Caenorhabditis elegans: one gene and its partners. The protein of the gene in region 1 interacts with the protein of each later gene in a pairwise test. Each region holds a gene or a part of one and is shown in the gene's direction. Other genes may lie near its edges.

Evidence for each region.
Region 2: the proteins of znf-782 (region 1) and C15H9.2 interact in a two-hybrid assay, tested with the Caenorhabditis elegans proteins (one large-scale study listed by BioGRID).
Region 3: the proteins of znf-782 (region 1) and ztf-31 interact in a two-hybrid assay, tested with the Caenorhabditis elegans proteins (one large-scale study listed by BioGRID).

Annotation. Positions count from the first base shown.
Region 1 is NC_003282.8:1,063,678-1,070,524, reverse strand, and holds the start of znf-782 (C2H2-type domain-containing protein), read left to right. Parts: upstream 1-2,999; 5' UTR 3,000-3,043; intron 3,044-6,847.
Region 2 is NC_003284.9:6,116,794-6,122,053, forward strand, and holds C15H9.2 (BTB domain-containing protein), read left to right. Parts: upstream 1-1,732; 5' UTR 1,733-1,982; coding exon 1,983-2,030; intron 2,031-2,081; coding exon 2,082-2,152; intron 2,153-2,744; coding exon 2,745-2,859; intron 2,860-2,907; coding exon 2,908-2,999; intron 3,000-3,042; coding exon 3,043-3,139; intron 3,140-3,182; coding exon 3,183-3,345; intron 3,346-3,387; coding exon 3,388-3,545; intron 3,546-3,589; coding exon 3,590-3,643; 3' UTR 3,644-3,744; downstream 3,745-5,260. Other genes in the region: C15H9.3 (7TM GPCR serpentine receptor class x (Srx) domain-containing protein), read left to right, coding at 343-647, 696-794, 891-1,063, 1,117-1,258.
Region 3 is NC_003281.10:7,239,574-7,244,466, forward strand, and holds ztf-31 (C2H2-type domain-containing protein), read left to right. Parts: upstream 1-1,791; 5' UTR 1,792-1,816; coding exon 1,817-1,854; intron 1,855-1,908; coding exon 1,909-2,100; intron 2,101-2,145; coding exon 2,146-2,353; intron 2,354-2,940; coding exon 2,941-3,063; intron 3,064-3,110; coding exon 3,111-3,200; intron 3,201-3,270; coding exon 3,271-3,327; 3' UTR 3,328-3,377; downstream 3,378-4,893. Other genes in the region: pars-1 (proline--tRNA ligase), read left to right, coding at 1-252, 371-942, 989-1,195, 1,240-1,528; osm-10 (Major sperm protein), read left to right, coding at 3,790-3,822, 3,929-4,364, 4,418-4,485.

The DNA of each region.
Region 1 (6,847 bases):
CCAGGCGACTGGTCAGGGGAGGACGGGGGGCTCCGTATCTGTCGGTACCACTTTCAGGGAGAGTATGGGGGAATGATGAAACGAGAAAAAGGGAAGAGATAGAAAAAAAAAGAGGAAAACATTTTTTTGTTTGCATGCAATTTTTTTTTATGTGGCGATAATTTTTTGATGTTATATGTCGGTTTTGTTTCTGATAGGTTAAGGGTGCATAGGACCTAGCCAAGCCATTTAAAGCTCTAAGCCTTAAAGTCTAGTGTCTTTAGATCCTTCCATAACCACCTAGATCCCTTGAAGAATCTCAAAAGCCTTTCATTCAGCCACCCGATCAAAGCTTACGACATCAAAACCGAGCTTATTACCCAAATTTCGAAATTTTGTCGGTTTTGTTTCTGATAGGGTGTAATTGGTAATCTAGATGCCTTCAGGCTCTCCCGTTCTTCGCTAGATAAATAAAACAGCTTGATACGCCTAAACAGGAAGTTGCATCGCTCATACCTACAGTTCGACCTTTCAAATCTGAAGCTAAAGTCTAAGCTTGATCCGTTTGGACTAAATAAAAACTTTTAGCCCGAATGTATGTAGACCAAAATGTAGACTCCCTGTACTATATGTAGGTTCTGTATTACCCTGGCTTACACCTGTTGTTCATCTTCTAGCTCAGTTGTTTCTTACTCAAAGTCCTTGAGTTTTCTAGTCCAAAGACCAGTAGGCCCTAAGCCCAAGGAGGTCCAGTAGGCCCGTGAAGCTCAAGACCCCTTGACTTCAAGAATTTTCAACTCCAAGGTCCCAAGCAACCCCTACCCCCCCCCCCCCCCCCCGCTCCTAGTTTTTTTCCTCATTTTTCTGCCAGCCTAGTCTCTGCTAGGCAGGCGGAGCCAGTGTGCCGGTCGGTGCCAGCGCGGTGCGACGCGGAACGACAACAACAACAGAAGTTTCTAGTATTAGTCGTAGTAGTACTAGTTGGTCGACTGGAAAAGTACCTTGAGGTGTCAGAATTGCAGAGAGCCAAAGGTTGGCCTCAGGTCTAGGCTTAGGCTCAGGCTTAGGCTTAGTCTAAGGATTAGGCTTAGGCTTAGGCTTAGGCTTAGGCTGAGCAGGGGACAAAAAGAGAGCAAAAAGAAATCCCCAGAAAATTCAATAATTCTGAAAAAAACCTGACCTTTTCGACCGGTTTTTGGGCTTTTGGACTTAGAAGGCCTACACAAGATTTTTCTAATGCTCAAGTGTATGAAAATCGAACTAGCGTTTTTGATGCCTCGGTGCTTATCACCTTAGAATTCCTATGCCCGTGGGCTTTGTTTTTTTTTTGAATTTCTCAAGTTTGGAACTGAATGAAGCAATGCTTTTGCACCCCCGTTTCCCTTGCTTACTCGGTTCCCTGGTTCCTTGCACGATCCCAGACCACTTTTGGCTCCCCGGTTCCCAGGCCCCCCTTAGCCCCGCTGGTCCCGTACTCCTTCCGCTCCCTGCTTGTTCTCCGCGTCTCTGCCGCTGCCGCTGCCGCGTCGTCGTCATTTTCCAGGCAAAAACATATGAAAAGAGCCATGGGTGGCTCCAGGTGGTGACCCAGCACCGTGTATTTGTGTGTGTATTTCTCGATGCTTGCAGCAGCAGCAGCAGCAGGAAAAAAGAGTGAAATAGTGTGGGGGAGGTGTGGCAGCATGTGAATCATGGATAGATGGGGGGGGGGGGGGGAGGTTTTGTAAAGAAGACAGAAGAAAAAAGTAGAGAACATACAAATACAGAAAGATATGAAAAAAGTTTTTTAGTATGGTACTTTATATTTGGTAAAAATTCGAATAAATATTGGTCCTTCTTCAAGGATCCTTTGGCCAAACTTGGGGTCTAAGCTTAGGCTGAGGTTTGAGCTCAGGCTTGAGCTTAGGCTGAAGCTTAGGCTTGGGCTTACTTATTGAAACCCTATGAGATAAAATCCGGGTCCTAGGCCCAAATTAAGCCTATTCTGCCAGACGAAAGACCCATGGTTCTTAAGTTCCCATTGAGACCAGATCGGCCAATATTCAAGGGCCTCTTTTTGAAACTCTTTGAGATAAAATAAGGGTCCTAGATCAGGATTAGCGTGGCTAAAAATAAAGTACTTAGAGCCCTGTTTGTAAGCCTTCCAGCCTAAGTATGACCTGCAAGATTAGGGCTTTCATAGACCAAATCAAACTTTCAGACCGAAATTCAAGTCCCTATGCCTTTTTTGATACTCTTTATGATAAAATTTTGGTCCTAGATCAGAATTAGGGTTTCTAGGCTTTTTTTGCCAGACTAAACAGGTAGGAAACGTAACTCAACACTTGGACCATTTAGGTTATTTTTGGGGTATTGTGGCCCTTTTTGCTTCATAACTCCTTTTTGGGCCAAAACTAGAGTCTCTAGAACCCTGTTTGTAACCCTTTCGGGAAAAGTTATGGCCTGGCCAAGACTGGCCAATATCAATGCCTTTACAGCCCAAATCAAACGTTCAGACCAAAATTCCAGTCCCTAGACCGATCACCTTTTAGTCCGTAATTTGGCTCCCTACCTATAAAAAGTATAAACATGCCAAAATTAGGTTGCAAAAAAGACCCAGTCTATGATTTTTGGCATTTTAGACTCCGTTAGGCTGAAATATAGCTCAGGATCCTAACACTTAGACCTTTTTGACCTAAATATAGATTTCTCAATTCAGAATTTCAGTTTTTAGACCTCCTAGACCTATTTGAGAGAATTCTCAAAAATTGTGCGATTTCCCATACCCTTATCAATTTTGTGTTGTTTGGTGGTTTGTTGCTCCTTCCTTCTTCTTCTTCTTCTTTTTTGAATGTCATTTTTTCAACCACTGGTCATTCTTTTTCCCACACTCTGCGTCTCTAAGTGGCCAGCGGGGGGGCGCCCCGACGTGCCAGTCGACACCAGGAGGGGCGCGCGGAACGAGCCGATAGAGCGTGCGAGACGAAGAGACGCAGGCATTTTTCCGCAGTGCTCGTCGCGTCGCATCATGCCGCTTCCGCACTCCGCCGCGCGCGAGGACTCTTCGAGAAAAAGACGAAAAAACGTGAGTGAGTTTGGCCTATCTGGAGCTCTCTAGAAATTTCTGGGACCTGTCTAGGCTTGGACCCATCTAGGGTTGGGTTTGGGCCCTTTTTTATCAGTTTTCAAGTGCAACATTGAATTTCAAACGACACTCCGTTATCCCTCTAGTGCTTGATGTTTAGCCAATTTAACTTGAAGTTTTTTTTTAAAGAAAAAGTTCCAAATTTCGGGCCAACTCCCTCTAATCACAGATTAAATTATGAATTTAAAATTTATCAGCTTTGCACCACCGACCACCAAAACAAAATCGATTTCACCACTAGAAGCCTTCAAGTTTTGAAATTTACTAGTTTCTAACGACACTCCGCTATCCCCTAGCGCGCTCTGTTTATCCAATAATTTTTGGTGGGAATTTGAAATTTTACATGACTTTTTTGTGCATTATTACCAGCTTTTTTGCACAAAAAAAAAAGAGAACTTGCAATTTTTCAAACTTTCAAACGACGCTCCGCTATCCCACCAATCGCGCCCTGTTTATCCAGTAAGTTGTCTATTGGTAATAAATGTTTTATTCATTATTCTATACATTTGTAGTTGATATGTAACTAATATCGCTAAAATAAACCAAAATAAAAACATGGTGCATCGATAAGTTTTGCAAACTTAACTTTACCAGCTCTATATCTAAATTGTCTCTGGGTTTATAAAATAATTATCAACTGACAAAATATTGCTCACCTCTTTTTCTACATTAACCCGTGGAAAAAATTACAAATAGCATAAAAAGCCGAGATATTGGCTTGCCTAACATAGTTTGCCCAAAAAAAAACTCGACAAAAGTGACCAGTTTTCTCTGAAACAATGACCTGGTCATTTGAACTGGTTTCTCACCATCCCGTCACTCTTTCAATTGTCTACTTCTGTGTTTGGTTTTTTTTTGGGAGGTTGTTTTCATTTGTTGTTATATGGGAGAGAGAGAGTGAGGCTATTGTTTTATCTTGGGACTCCTCCTCTCGGAACTTTTTAATAATTGTTTCATTCTTCATAATTCCTTACATATTTTGGCTGGTTTTGGTTTTATCGGAATTTTTTTTTTTAAATTAACACTTCTTAGATAGAGTCTGTCGAAGAAAAGTTCTGAACATGGTGCATCGAGGCCATATTTCGGTTACGTTTAGTTAAGCTGTTTTTCATAATTTTTTCTACATTGATTTCATATGACTCAACTTTGAAGTGTAGGGCTCCTATGTAGGCGATAAAACGCCTACCTGCCTGGCCTTCAGGCGATCTCCGCCTGCCTCAATACTTATGCTAAATCATACGTGTTTTTTTTTTCTTTTTTTTTTAATTTGAAAATCATCAGTGTAAATACACCTAAAATGCATAAAAGGGGAAAAAGCAGGCAGGTTTCAGGCAGGCTTCAGGCCCCGCGCCTGCCTAAAATCTAGTCCATGCACCATGATCTGAAATCACTATCAACCCAGTTTTCAAAGGTCCTATCCACATTTTCCACCAATCCCGTTAATCCGTACTACATGTAGGTCAAACACATGGTTTTTGAAATCCAACTAGATATAGCCATAAATGTTTGTATGTGGTCAAAGTTTCTCTCTCATTTTTCCAACAAAAAAAGAACGCACACACACACATATGTTTGTATGTGGTGTCTACCTATTATTATCTATGGTTGGACGGGCATCATCATGTCACCGGCAGGCACCCATAGCTCCGTGCCAGGCCGCTTGCCGCCGCGCCGGCAGGCATGCGGTCACGCGGAATGGGTTACGAGGGGGTAACCTGATACCACGAGTTGGGGTGACCAGGGTATGTGATAAGGTAAAAGGTTACGTATTTGAGTATTTGAAAATAAAAGGTTAGTGATTTTGAATGGGAAATAGGAAACTTTGTGAAATTTAAAAAAACATGGTGCATCGACTGAAAATCCTTCGTCAGCTTTTTGACGTCTTGTATTTCAGTTGTGTTTGGTGTTATCAAAACATTGTCTAGTGACAAAATGTTTATTATAACCTTTTCTATAATAATGTAGTTTAACAATTTTTGATATCTCTTTAAAAAACCAAGATATGATCATTCAAAGTAAAATGCCAAGCACAACTTCATTGGTTCAAATCTTGGTTGTTTTTGGTTCAAAAATTGGCAACAGACAAAACATTTCTTATATCTTTCTCTATAGTTCTATTTTTAAACATTTTTTGATATCAGTAAAAGTAATCGAGATATAAGCTGTCAAAGTTAATCGGCAAAACATGGTGCATCAACTGTTACAGTGATCGTACCCCTATCGTAATTTTTCTGTAATTCTACAGTAGCCCTACAGTAATACTACAGTAGCCCTACCGTAATTTTTTTGTATTTCTACAGTAGCCCTACATTAATACTACAGTAATCCTACAATACCCCTCTAAAACCTCAAAGTTTTCATGTAGTAACTGAACCCCTCCAGGTGCAAAAATTGCTGCCAGGTGCAAAATTTCACGAGGTGTTCGGAAAAGTTTAGACTCCTTAAATGCTAAAAATCTTTTTGGACCCTTGGATTCTTTCACCTCTCCTCATACTAATATCCTACTCTTTCAAGACTACTAGTCCCTAGTCACCAAAACATAAATGACGAATTCCTACGTGCGTTCTTTTGCTCCTTTTGCTCCGCGCGGAGCCCACCGAACGCCGGAGCCAAAACAATTATTATATGCCGTGTGTGTGTGTTGTGTGTGTTCCGCGCGGATAAGAAGAAGACGCAGTTGAGAAGAAGCGTGCCAGTCGCCGTGTTTGTTTTGGCGCAGCGTCGTCGACGGGGTGGTCTTGAAGAGCGGCGAGGAGGCGCCTGGTACCAGTAGTCGGGGTGGGGTGGGTGAGGGCTAGGGCATCAGAGAAACCAGACGTTTTTTTTGTTCGCATGCTTCTTCTCCGCTGTGTGTTGTTGTGCTGCTGCCACCTCGAACGTCGGAACATCATGGCACTGCCTACCGCGTCGGCCGCCGCCCGGGAAAAAGAGAAACACACAACACACAACACCCTTCGAGGAGTTCAGTTTCTAGATCAGCTGACACAGAGTTGTCAACAAAAACAGAGAGCATCATCACAGAGACTGGCACCGCTGCTGCAGCTGACCACTGGGGCGGACGCCTAGGTCATTGTGCTCTGGAACTACCTAGTTGCTTCCCTGAAGTTTGAAATGCATAGGTGTTCAATAATCTTACTGTAATGCTATAGTCCGTGACTCCTCTATACGTCTTGTTCATTCATGTCGATGCACCATGTCTTCCTTCCAACTTTGACTTCTCATATCTTAGCCCAGATTGTAGATATCTTTAAATTTCTAAGTATCAAATCATAGCCAAGAATATAATACACATTTTGTTAGTTGACAACTTTTTTATAAAACCAAAGGTAGCCGAGATATAAGTTGTCAAGCATACCGACGATTCACCATGTCTCCCGTTTTTTTGACAACCGATATCTTGGTTCACATTAAAAATATCAAGAAGTGTTCAACTACGGAACTTAAGACACTATACTTGATAAATATTTTGTTAATTGATAACTTTTTGATAACACGAAACATAGCCGAGATATGAGATATCAAGGCTATGGTCGATGCACCATGTCTTCCACTTTTTTACTGCCAACTTTTTTCTCTTTTATTTTGCATCATATCTCAGTTGCCTTTAATCTTATCAAACCTTTTTCCACTGACAAAATACTTCTCATCTTCTTTACTCCAACTTTGCTGTTGAAAATTTCTTGATAACTTTTTACCGAACCAAGATAAAAGCTGTGAAAGTAGGTCTGCATGACATGGTGCATC
Region 2 (5,260 bases), on another chromosome or scaffold:
AATGTTAAATAAACTAAAGATAAACTTCAGCCCCTGAAATTTCAATTTTGAATGTTTTTGACTACTTCCAAAATCGGTAAGATTTTTTCAACAGCTGGTTTTGCAAATTTCATAGTAGTTTAAGAATAGAAAAACATTTTAAATGCTTCTAAATTTTATTGAAAAAGATCTGAAAGTTCGACATCTATGTTAATAAAAAAAGGCATATAGTTTTTCCAAATATCTTTCAGAAAAATATATCTTTACTTATTTATGAACAACTAGGAAAAAATAATAAACCATTTTGCTGAAAGAAAGTCAAGTAAAAGTTGTGAAGTTCAAAATGCCAATTCAAATTTTCAGATGACTTTCCAACCAAGCTCTTTCATTTCACAACGTACTCCTGCTGGTTCATCCAACTCTACTCGTTGATTGCAATCGCTGGCTCCCACATCCTCGCAGTTTATGGAACTCTGTACTATGCGCGCTTTACTCAGAAAAAGACAATTTTTGCTATCATCGGAATCGTCTTTTTATCCATGCTGTCTGTGTGCTACTTATGGTCTCCAGAGTTTCCAATTATTTTCCATCCCGAGTTTTGGGGTTGGACGGAAGAACGAAACAAACCTCTGGTTAACTTTTTCTTTTATCTTAACTATGTTGTACAGGTATTAAAAACGGGGAGAATTGACAAAAACTATATATTTCCGGTTCAGGGAATTGTTTTCTTTTGCTTGGGTCTCACTGATATTCTTATTGTTTACAAACTCAGCACAATCAAGGAATCGGTCTTTTCAAATGAGAAAAGCGCCACCGTAAGTAACAAAACTTATACTATCAAAATTAGTTTTTCTATTCAAAATCTTTTATACCCTTTTTGTCAAAATTGTGCCATAGACCAAATTTGTTAGGTCGCACCAGCAGAAATGATGCAAAAGATGCAGGTGTCGGTGGTGAATAGCGGAAACATGATGGCTCCCCGGAAGACTTCACGGGTCTCAACCGAACTCAAAGTCTCTATAAACTTCATCATCGTATCAATGTTTCTTCTTGTTCAGACGCTCATCTACAATATTTGTACACTGTAAGTCATCATTGTTATTTCCGTTCCCTTTTCTTATCACTGTTTTTTTTCAGATACGAAGACAACAACCTTTGTCTGTTCCTACTATTCATTGCACCAATTTTCCGTGGAAGTAAATGCCTTGCCTACATGGTCTCCGGAAGTGCACTTCGTAACGCAATTGTCAACCTGATTCTTTGCCGAAAGAAATTTTAAACTTTGAATCTCAATTTATTATAATAATTGCTAATTTATTTTTTATTCAATTCAATATCTCTTTTTCTACGCTCATTTCAATCTCATCCAAAAGTATACTTTACTAAATGAAGCTGAAAATCTCTATTTTTTTCCCTTGTCACACGGTGTTGTCATCCTCTTTTCCGTTGATGTTGTTTTTCTCTCACACCCTCTTGATTTTCAGCGAGCTGTTTCAGAAACCAAAAACTAGTGTGTGTACTAAAAGCCGTGAGAATATGATTGCTATATTCTGCATTACAAGTGCAAGACGAGAGACGCCTGCCTGTGTGCTCATGAGAATTTCTCTCCTTTTTGTCCCTTCTTTTTTTTGCAGTCTGGTGTTGCCGTCGTTTCCAAAAATAACGCAACTTTGGCAAATCGTATAGTAGAGCCTCCTTTCATTAACTTCGACGCACATTGTTATCAAAGAAATATAATTTTCTTATTTTTTCCAGCATAACACCTCGAAACCTCAACAGGCTCAAACAAAAATCGTATTATCAGTGACATGATTTGGAACTAACTGAAAATTGTAAAAACGTGAAAAACGAGCACATGTACGGCGTTATCACTAGTTTGAAGTTTTGAACCGATTAAAAGTGCACCTGGAGGAAAAAGAGGAAAATACCTTTTTATCATTTCTTCATTTTCACTCCTCACCCTGAAGAAAATATCCTCACTCTCTTGGCAAGACCCCCTAGACATGCTGATCAACACTAATAGCACTTCTGATGCAACCACAATAATTGATGTAAGCCATGTTTTTTCTTAGAAATTGAAATTTAAAAACAAATTTTGGCAGCTGCAAAACCGCTACTATCACGTCAACGCTGCACTGGAAAAAACGAGTTTTGACGTGGACGGGTTCAAGTGGTGAGTTCAGTTTTAAAAAGTTAAGAAAATAGAAACAGGGCTCGAGAAAATCTCAAATAGAAAGGAAAATTTTAGATCATTCAAATCTAGAAGTGGGTTATAATTAATACATATGAATTTTTAATTGCTAATTTCAAATGGTCAAATAATGAAAACCTGACATTGTAAATCTGGAAGAATTACTGAAAGCCTAAGTGTGTTTAAACTAATAGTTTTTTAAAAAATAACAGGAATAATTAATTATTTGCAAGAATAAACCATTTTAAAATAAGCAACATGACTGAAAATGATCAAATGTTAAATGCCGGAGTTCAAATTTTGCACACAAACTTGCTCATTTTATAACTTTAGAAATACACAGCTCAAGCAGCATTTTCTGTATTAGCAAGTACAAATTTATATATACTGTAAAAAAAATACACCTAACCAGATGGTCGTCAAAACTCAAGCTTCAAAAAACTTTGAAGCTCATGTATACTCTACAAATTCTATCGACTTCCTGTTTCATTATTTTATAATTTTTTAAAGCATATTGTTTGAACAATGTTTTTATTTTTACCATAATCATATCAAAAAGTTTCCGAAATTTCAGGCAAATTGTATTTGATTGTCAACAAATTATATTCACGCTCATATCAGAGATGGCAGAATTTTGCTCAATTGACCTGATTATTCATTGCACCGATTTCAAGTCTAGTTCCACTTTTGTAATGCTTGAAACATTAGAACGCTACAAAAAACGCAATACATTGCAGACCTCACAATTCGAGCGCAGCGGAGAGTCAGTTGTTCATGAGTGGCTGCCAGGCGGTCGCCACGTGCAACTGGAAATTGACCAAACGATTCAGTGAGTGCATCATGCACTCTTAATAATTAGGAACATTTTTCAGCGAAAGTCAATTTTCCGGATTGGACTTCAGCCAGCCGTTTGACAGTTCAAATGTTGTGCTAAAAGTTGAAGATGAGGAATTTCACGTACATACTTTTGTATGAATCGTTGGATTGTCATAAGCTCATGTTTACTTTTCAGGTTCTGAGCATGGCTTCTCAATATTTTAAAGTGTTATTCAATGGGTCTTTCATTGAATCCTCCGACCTAACAAAACCAATCGAACTGAAAGGAATATCGTCTTGTTCTTTTAGAAACCTTCTAAATTGTATATATGGATATCCCTCTGTGTTCAGAATAACACGTCAGTTTTCATTTCCAGACAGCTAATTGAAATCATTTTCAGGCGGGAATATTGTAGAGCTACTGGAATTAAGCCACTTTTTTGATTGCAAAAACGTTACAATGTTCTGTGAATATAATTTGTGTAATGATACCTGTTACAATATCCGATCAACTCAGAAAATGGAATGGGCTATCCGATATAATTTGAACACTTTGAAGGTAAAACATAAGATTCGTATTGATTATAACTCGTTTATTTTCAGAATAAACTTTTACGACATGAACCTTATTTGGTAGATCTTCTAAGTCTCACTTAGAAATTTTTTAACAACAACAGATACTCCCCTCATTGATTGTGATCTTGTATTTTATAAACATTTGAGATGTTATTATAGTTAATAAATGATTGCAGAACTTTTAGCTTGGTGAAAAGTATTTATTATCATTTTTTTAAACAATAATTTCAAAAGACGGATTTAGGTTTTTGAATTTATTGCGTTTTGAAAAAGTGGTTTGAAGGATTTTGTAATAAAAATGTTAAATAGTTTTCTATCGGAGAAAAATGCGATTGTACTCTTTCTGATTGAAAAATATCAATTTTTCGTCAAGTTTAAAAGTTAATATAATTTTCAAGTGCCGCGTCCAAACGCGAATAATCTGGAGGTTTTTCTCGACCGTTTTCAAAATAATATTCAAAATAACAAAGACTACTTTGGAATTTTTCCGCGTTCTGGTCCTTGCAAATAAATTTTGTTGCATTACGCCTTATCGTTTCAGTCATAAGCTTGTTGAAAATTTCAGAGCATTTTTTTCGTGGTTCTCGGAAAACATGAATAGTTTCGAACAATACAAATAATAGGAAGACGATTTTTATAACTCAACTGTTTCCATGGGAATCGAGGTTACAAACACTTCAGAAAAAAAAAATTAAATATTGTCGGTGCTATTGTTCGATAACTTTTCTAGTATTGAGTTAAACTGAACAGAATAATTTTGAAAATACTCAAAAACTAAGAGGCCGATGCTTTTTGATAATTTCATAGGTGGCACATTGAAAACGTTTAAATTCATTTCACCAAAAAGATACTATAAAAAATCTTCGCAAAAATACCTGTATGGCATCATGTGAAAGTGTGCAACACTAATAAATACACAAACTAGTTGAAAAAACTGCATTCAAGTAACAAACATTAAAATAATAGTCTGATTCATTTTCATTACGATTTATTAACAAAGCAACGCAAAAAAAAACTGATCAAACTCTAAGTAGCAGCACATCGTGTCAACCAATTTTTGAGTAAATAATTTGTATTGGTTATCATAGAAAAGGTAAAAAATCACACTTGTTTGTTCGCAAACACTTCTGATAAAAATTGTTTACTATTTGAGAACCAATATGGCAAAGTTAATCATTTTTGACATCACATTTTCTGAATTGAGAATTTTTGCTGTCACATTTTTTCCGGTCAATCTAAAAATCAAACCACAACAATGCATTCATCTCTTATTGTTTTCTTGTTATCCTAAACCCTAAATAGATGTTTGCAAGAAGAAGAAAAAACACCTTTATGTGACTCAGGTGTTTTTATAATATATCGTTAGGTCAGCTTTTTTTAAAAACAGTTGTATTATGATATAATTTTTCTACATTTTCTTCAAAACCGCTCTGTTATCCAGTTCCAATGACCAATAAACTATGTCACGTTATCTTGATGTTTATGTTGTTATCTTGACCAAAGTACGGCTGTTCATGGCAATACTGTTCTATCCATAATCGTAGCCTAATGAATACATTTTATGCAAACGGTTTCCTGAATTTTTCCGACTTTTTCTGTGAGTCGAAATAGACTACGCATTTGTCAGTGGAAGAGTTTGTTTATGCGTTCCACACTGACCACGTGATGGTGCCTCGTCGCGCACTACATTTTTTCCTC
Region 3 (4,893 bases), on another chromosome or scaffold:
ATTAAGAAATTAGGAGTGAAGAACTGCTACTTCCCAATGTTCGTATCAAATGCTGCCCTCGAACGCGAAAAGACTCATATTGCTGATTTTGCCCCAGAAGTTGCTTGGGTTACTCGTGCTGGAAACTCTGAAATGGCCGAACCAATCGCTATTCGCCCAACTTCAGAGACAGTTATGTACCCATCTTACAAGAAATGGGTTCAATCTCATCGCGATCTTCCAATCAAGTTGAACCAATGGTGCAATGTTGTTGTAAGTATTGATTTTTTAATTGAAATTAGTTAAAAATTTTTATAAATTTCTGTTGAATTTCTCCTAGCTGTCTTGCTCCACTGCAAAAATATTATCATAATACTTTTTTCCTTTACAGCGATGGGAGTTCAAGCATCCAACACCATTCCTTCGTACTCGTGAATTTCTCTGGCAAGAGGGACATACGGCTTTTGCCAACCCAGCAGACGCTGAAAAAGAGGTTTTCCAAATCCTTGATCTCTACGCAGGAGTCTACACTGATTTGCTCGCTATCCCAGTTGTGAAGGGACGAAAGAGTGAGAAGGAAAAGTTTGCTGGAGGAGATTTTACGACGACAGTCGAAGCATACGTGGCATGCAATGGTAGAGGAATCCAAGGAGCAACTTCTCACCATCTCGGACAAAATTTCTCCAAGATGTTTGATATTTCGTACGAGGATCCAGCGAAGGAAGGAGAACGAGCATTCGCTTGGCAAAATTCGTGGGGTCTTTCCACTCGTACCATTGGTGCAATGGTAATGATTCACGGAGATGACAAGGGATTAGTACTTCCACCAAGAGTTGCCGCTGTTCAAGTTATTGTTGTTCCAGTTGGATTCAAGACTGAGAACAAGCAATCGCTTTTCGATGCTGTTGATAAGGTTACCAAGGATTTGGTCGCGGATGGAGTAAAGGCTGAGCACGATTTGAGGTTTGAAATTAATAATGAATGCAGTTATGTACGTTTTTAATTACAGAGAAAACTACAATGCTGGCTGGAAGTTCAATCATTGGGAATTGAAAGGAGTCCCAATCCGTTTTGAGGTCGGACCAAATGATTTGGCAAAGAACCAGGTAACCGCTGTAATCCGTCACAACGGAGAGAAGAAACAACTTTCCCTGGAAGGACTGTCTAAAACTGTCAAATCTCTTCTTGATGAAATTCATACTGCTATGTACAATAAGTTGGTTAAAATTTTTAAAAGTTGAAATAAATTCCATACTTCAGGGTACTCGCTCAACGTGACTCTCACCTGAAGAGCACCACGTGCATCGAAGAATTCAAGAAGCTTCTTGACGAGAAGTGCATTATACTGTCCCCATTCTGTGGTCGTCCAGACTGTGAAGAGGAAATCAAGAAGGCATCAACAAGAGAAGACGGAGAAGGCGCACAGATGGGAGCCAAGACGTTATGTATTCCATTGGATCAACCAAAACAAGAACTTCCATCAAAATGTCTTTTCCCATCATGCACATACAATGCCAAGGCTTTCGCTCTGTTTGGAAGAAGTTATTAATTTTCACGTCTACGTCCCTAATAACTAAATATTCAGAAGCATAGTATTTATTCGTTGTCCTCTGTTTTTGCTATTTATTTTTTTTGGTGATTGTTTCATTTGTCTTCATACATCCTACTATTGCTCGTTTTTTTCATTTGTTCTGAATATCATTAAAAATAAAAATTAAAAATAAAATTAACAGAAAAAAAAGAACGTGGTGCCCTACATTGCGTGGTGGTATGTGGCAATGGGGTCAGGGGTGGGGAATGATGGAAAGAACATTTACACTTTTAGTTTTTTATATTAATGTCGTCATCCAGTGAATCCGATTCCGAAGGAGAACGGTAACATCATTTAACTTTAGATTTCCAGATATTTTCAGCGGTCTTAAATTTCAGAAAACTTCCTTTGTCGTATCGTAGAAAAAGACGACGTGATTCGAGTTCAACAACCAACTCCGAAGTATCCGATAATGATAGAAAAAAACGGCAAAACGAGAAGCGGAGAAGCCGTGAGTCATCCAAGATGAAGCATCAAAAAACGGCGAAACGGGACAAACCAATGTGGAAAGAGGAAGGAGAAATTTCATGGTGAGCACAGTTTTCATTGCATTAGAAGATTTCTTTCATTTTCAGTGACAGTGAGAGTGACGTCTGTAATTCCTCGAGTAGCAACAACCGGAGCCGCTGTCGTGATCGGCGAAGAAGAACTGATTACGGAAGAAGACGTCACAGAAATTCAGATTCTAGATCTCATGAGAGATGGAGTACTAGAAGAAGACAGACAACTCCAGAGGGAAATTTCAGATGTGATGAGTGTGGATGTAACCACTACACTTTGAAGGTAATTGACTATGGACACAAAAGTGCAAGCTTCTGACGTAATAGATGAAATAAGCATTATTGCATTGGTGACTCGGTTTGCAACAATATCACACAGTCGCAAAGTTTGCGATTTTCGCGCGAAGAATACGGTGCTCGGTCTCTATGCGACTGTTTTTGTTAAATTTTTTAAAAAGCGTGCGCCTTTGAAGAGTACTGTAATTTCAAAATTTTATTCTGCGGAATTTTCAGGAGTTTTTAAGAATAATTTTTCTCCAGATCTTTTGAGAGTTCTGGGGTTTATGGTTATATTTATTTTTTAAATATACTTCTATTGAAAAACTATCGTTTTAAATTCCGCAGAAACTAGATTTGGAAATTACAGTACTCTTTAAAGACGCGCGCCTTTTTGTATTGAGCAAAAATAAATGTCGTCTCGAGACCAGGAACCGTATTTTTGTGCAATAGTCGCAAAATTTCGCGTCTGTGTAATAGAAAGGTTTGAGTTTAATGGAATAACTCACTTTTGCTCAAAATTTCATATATTAAATTAGTAAACACCTCTGCAGCTTGACACCGACTGGCACACACAAAATATTAAACTTTCAGGGTCTAATCCATCACGAAATGAACGACCACAACCTCAATGCAAAATGTCATTTATGCCAGAAATCTTTCGAGAATAAGAAGACATTCCGTGAACACTGTGAATTGGATCACACACCGGAAGTGGTATGACAGTATTCATTAACAGATTCAATTTGAAATATTAATTTTAGGTTAGATGTGTATTCTGCAAAAGCTCATTCGATCAGCCACTGGAAATGAACGATGAACAATGGGCACACTTTTTCGCTCATATTTATGGGGTTAGTAATTCACCATTCGAATCTAGAAGTCGATTCTCCTGACTGACATTTTTAAAACCATTTTTTCCAGGAAATCCTCTACTCCCGCCTTGCCGACTACGAGGATCGTGCTTTGAACACTGCATGAATTATATATTTGATTCGATGGTTAGCTTAATAAAGAATTTTTCTGTTGTACTTCAACCTTTTTCTGAAATAGGAAATAATCACAAGTTGTCTGAAAAATGTGATCAGCTATCCAGATCAAACAGTGAAAATGTTGTCTGCAATGATTCATAGCTGAACATCTGAACTCTTAAATTTTCAGCGAATCATGATTTGCATTGTGATATATTATTCTTATGGTTGCAAAAGAAAAAAGATTACGAAAATATCTTGTGACAGAGTAAGAAACCATTGAAATTTAATTAATCACCGTGGAGACAGGTGTGCACTCTGCTCTTATTATATTATCAAAACGAGAAACGCGTGAGCAAGAAGTGGGCGTGACTTGGTAGAAAGGTACTTAATCGAGATGTTGAGCCAACTTTCGAGATTATTCTAAAAGTTTCCATATCAATAAACTTTTTTGGAAATTTCATCTTGCAAGATGTCGAAGGCAACGTCCGCGTGTTCTCAAAAGGTGAGATTTCTGAAATAATACTTAGGATTAAACTTGAAATTTTATCCACATAACTTTATCTAGGAAAAAACTTTTTCGATTTATGTTAGAACCTAATAAATTTCAGAAGACCTCTCTCCTGGATCCGAGTCCAAAAAAGTCATCTGTAATTGAAACAACAACCAAAAAAACTTCTGGGATTGAGTCCAAACTATTGCCAAATGAGCTTCCATCAACTGGAACAACTGGAACTAGCGGTGTTAAGAATGGGGCTTCAAGTCCAAAAACTAGCCCAGCAAAAACCACTACTACCACAACTACCGTAGTCACTCAAAAAGTTTCAAATCAACCAACTGCACCCATTTCAACACTTCCACCTCGTAAGCCAACAGCCCAAAAAAGTCGCGAATTGTCCCCTCCAAAAGCGAAGAAATCTCCGAGTCCAAGTCGTACTGGTTCAGGTGACTCTGGTTCAAGAAAGGAAAGCAGTGCATCCAGAAAAGATTCTTCGAAAACCGAAAAATTGGTCAAAGATTTGGAAAATGTCAAATTGGAGAAAGGAGGTAACAAACTCAGGCAACAATGGGCAAACTGAATACACTTAATTATATTTCAGATTCCCGTGAATCGGCTACTCTTCCAACTCCGAAGCAGTATCCAGCTTCGGACGATGAGGAAGACACGGTTAGTGGTTAAACCAAAACCTAGCTAGAGCTCATATTACTCCTCTTGAGTTCTGAAACTCGTGGCAACCTCTCTTTCAAAATTGTGATGGGAACACTCTGAACACACAAAATTATTCCATTCTTGTTTGTACATAGGAAAATGTGGCAACTTTATATTTCGGGTGTGTGAGGTCAAAATGACTTTTAGTGCATTTTTATTGCTGAAAAACATCCATGACAGCATATAAGTATACTTCCTGAATAGTGGATAGCCACACTTTTTAGCAATCAGTATTTACGAGTTTATTATTCACTCAGTCTTACTCAGAAGTCTCAGAAGTCTGAGAAGTCAGAAGTCTAACCACACTTAAATTTCCTCATCAAGTAAATTCTCTACGGTTGTGACAAGGTCTACTTAGAAAAATAA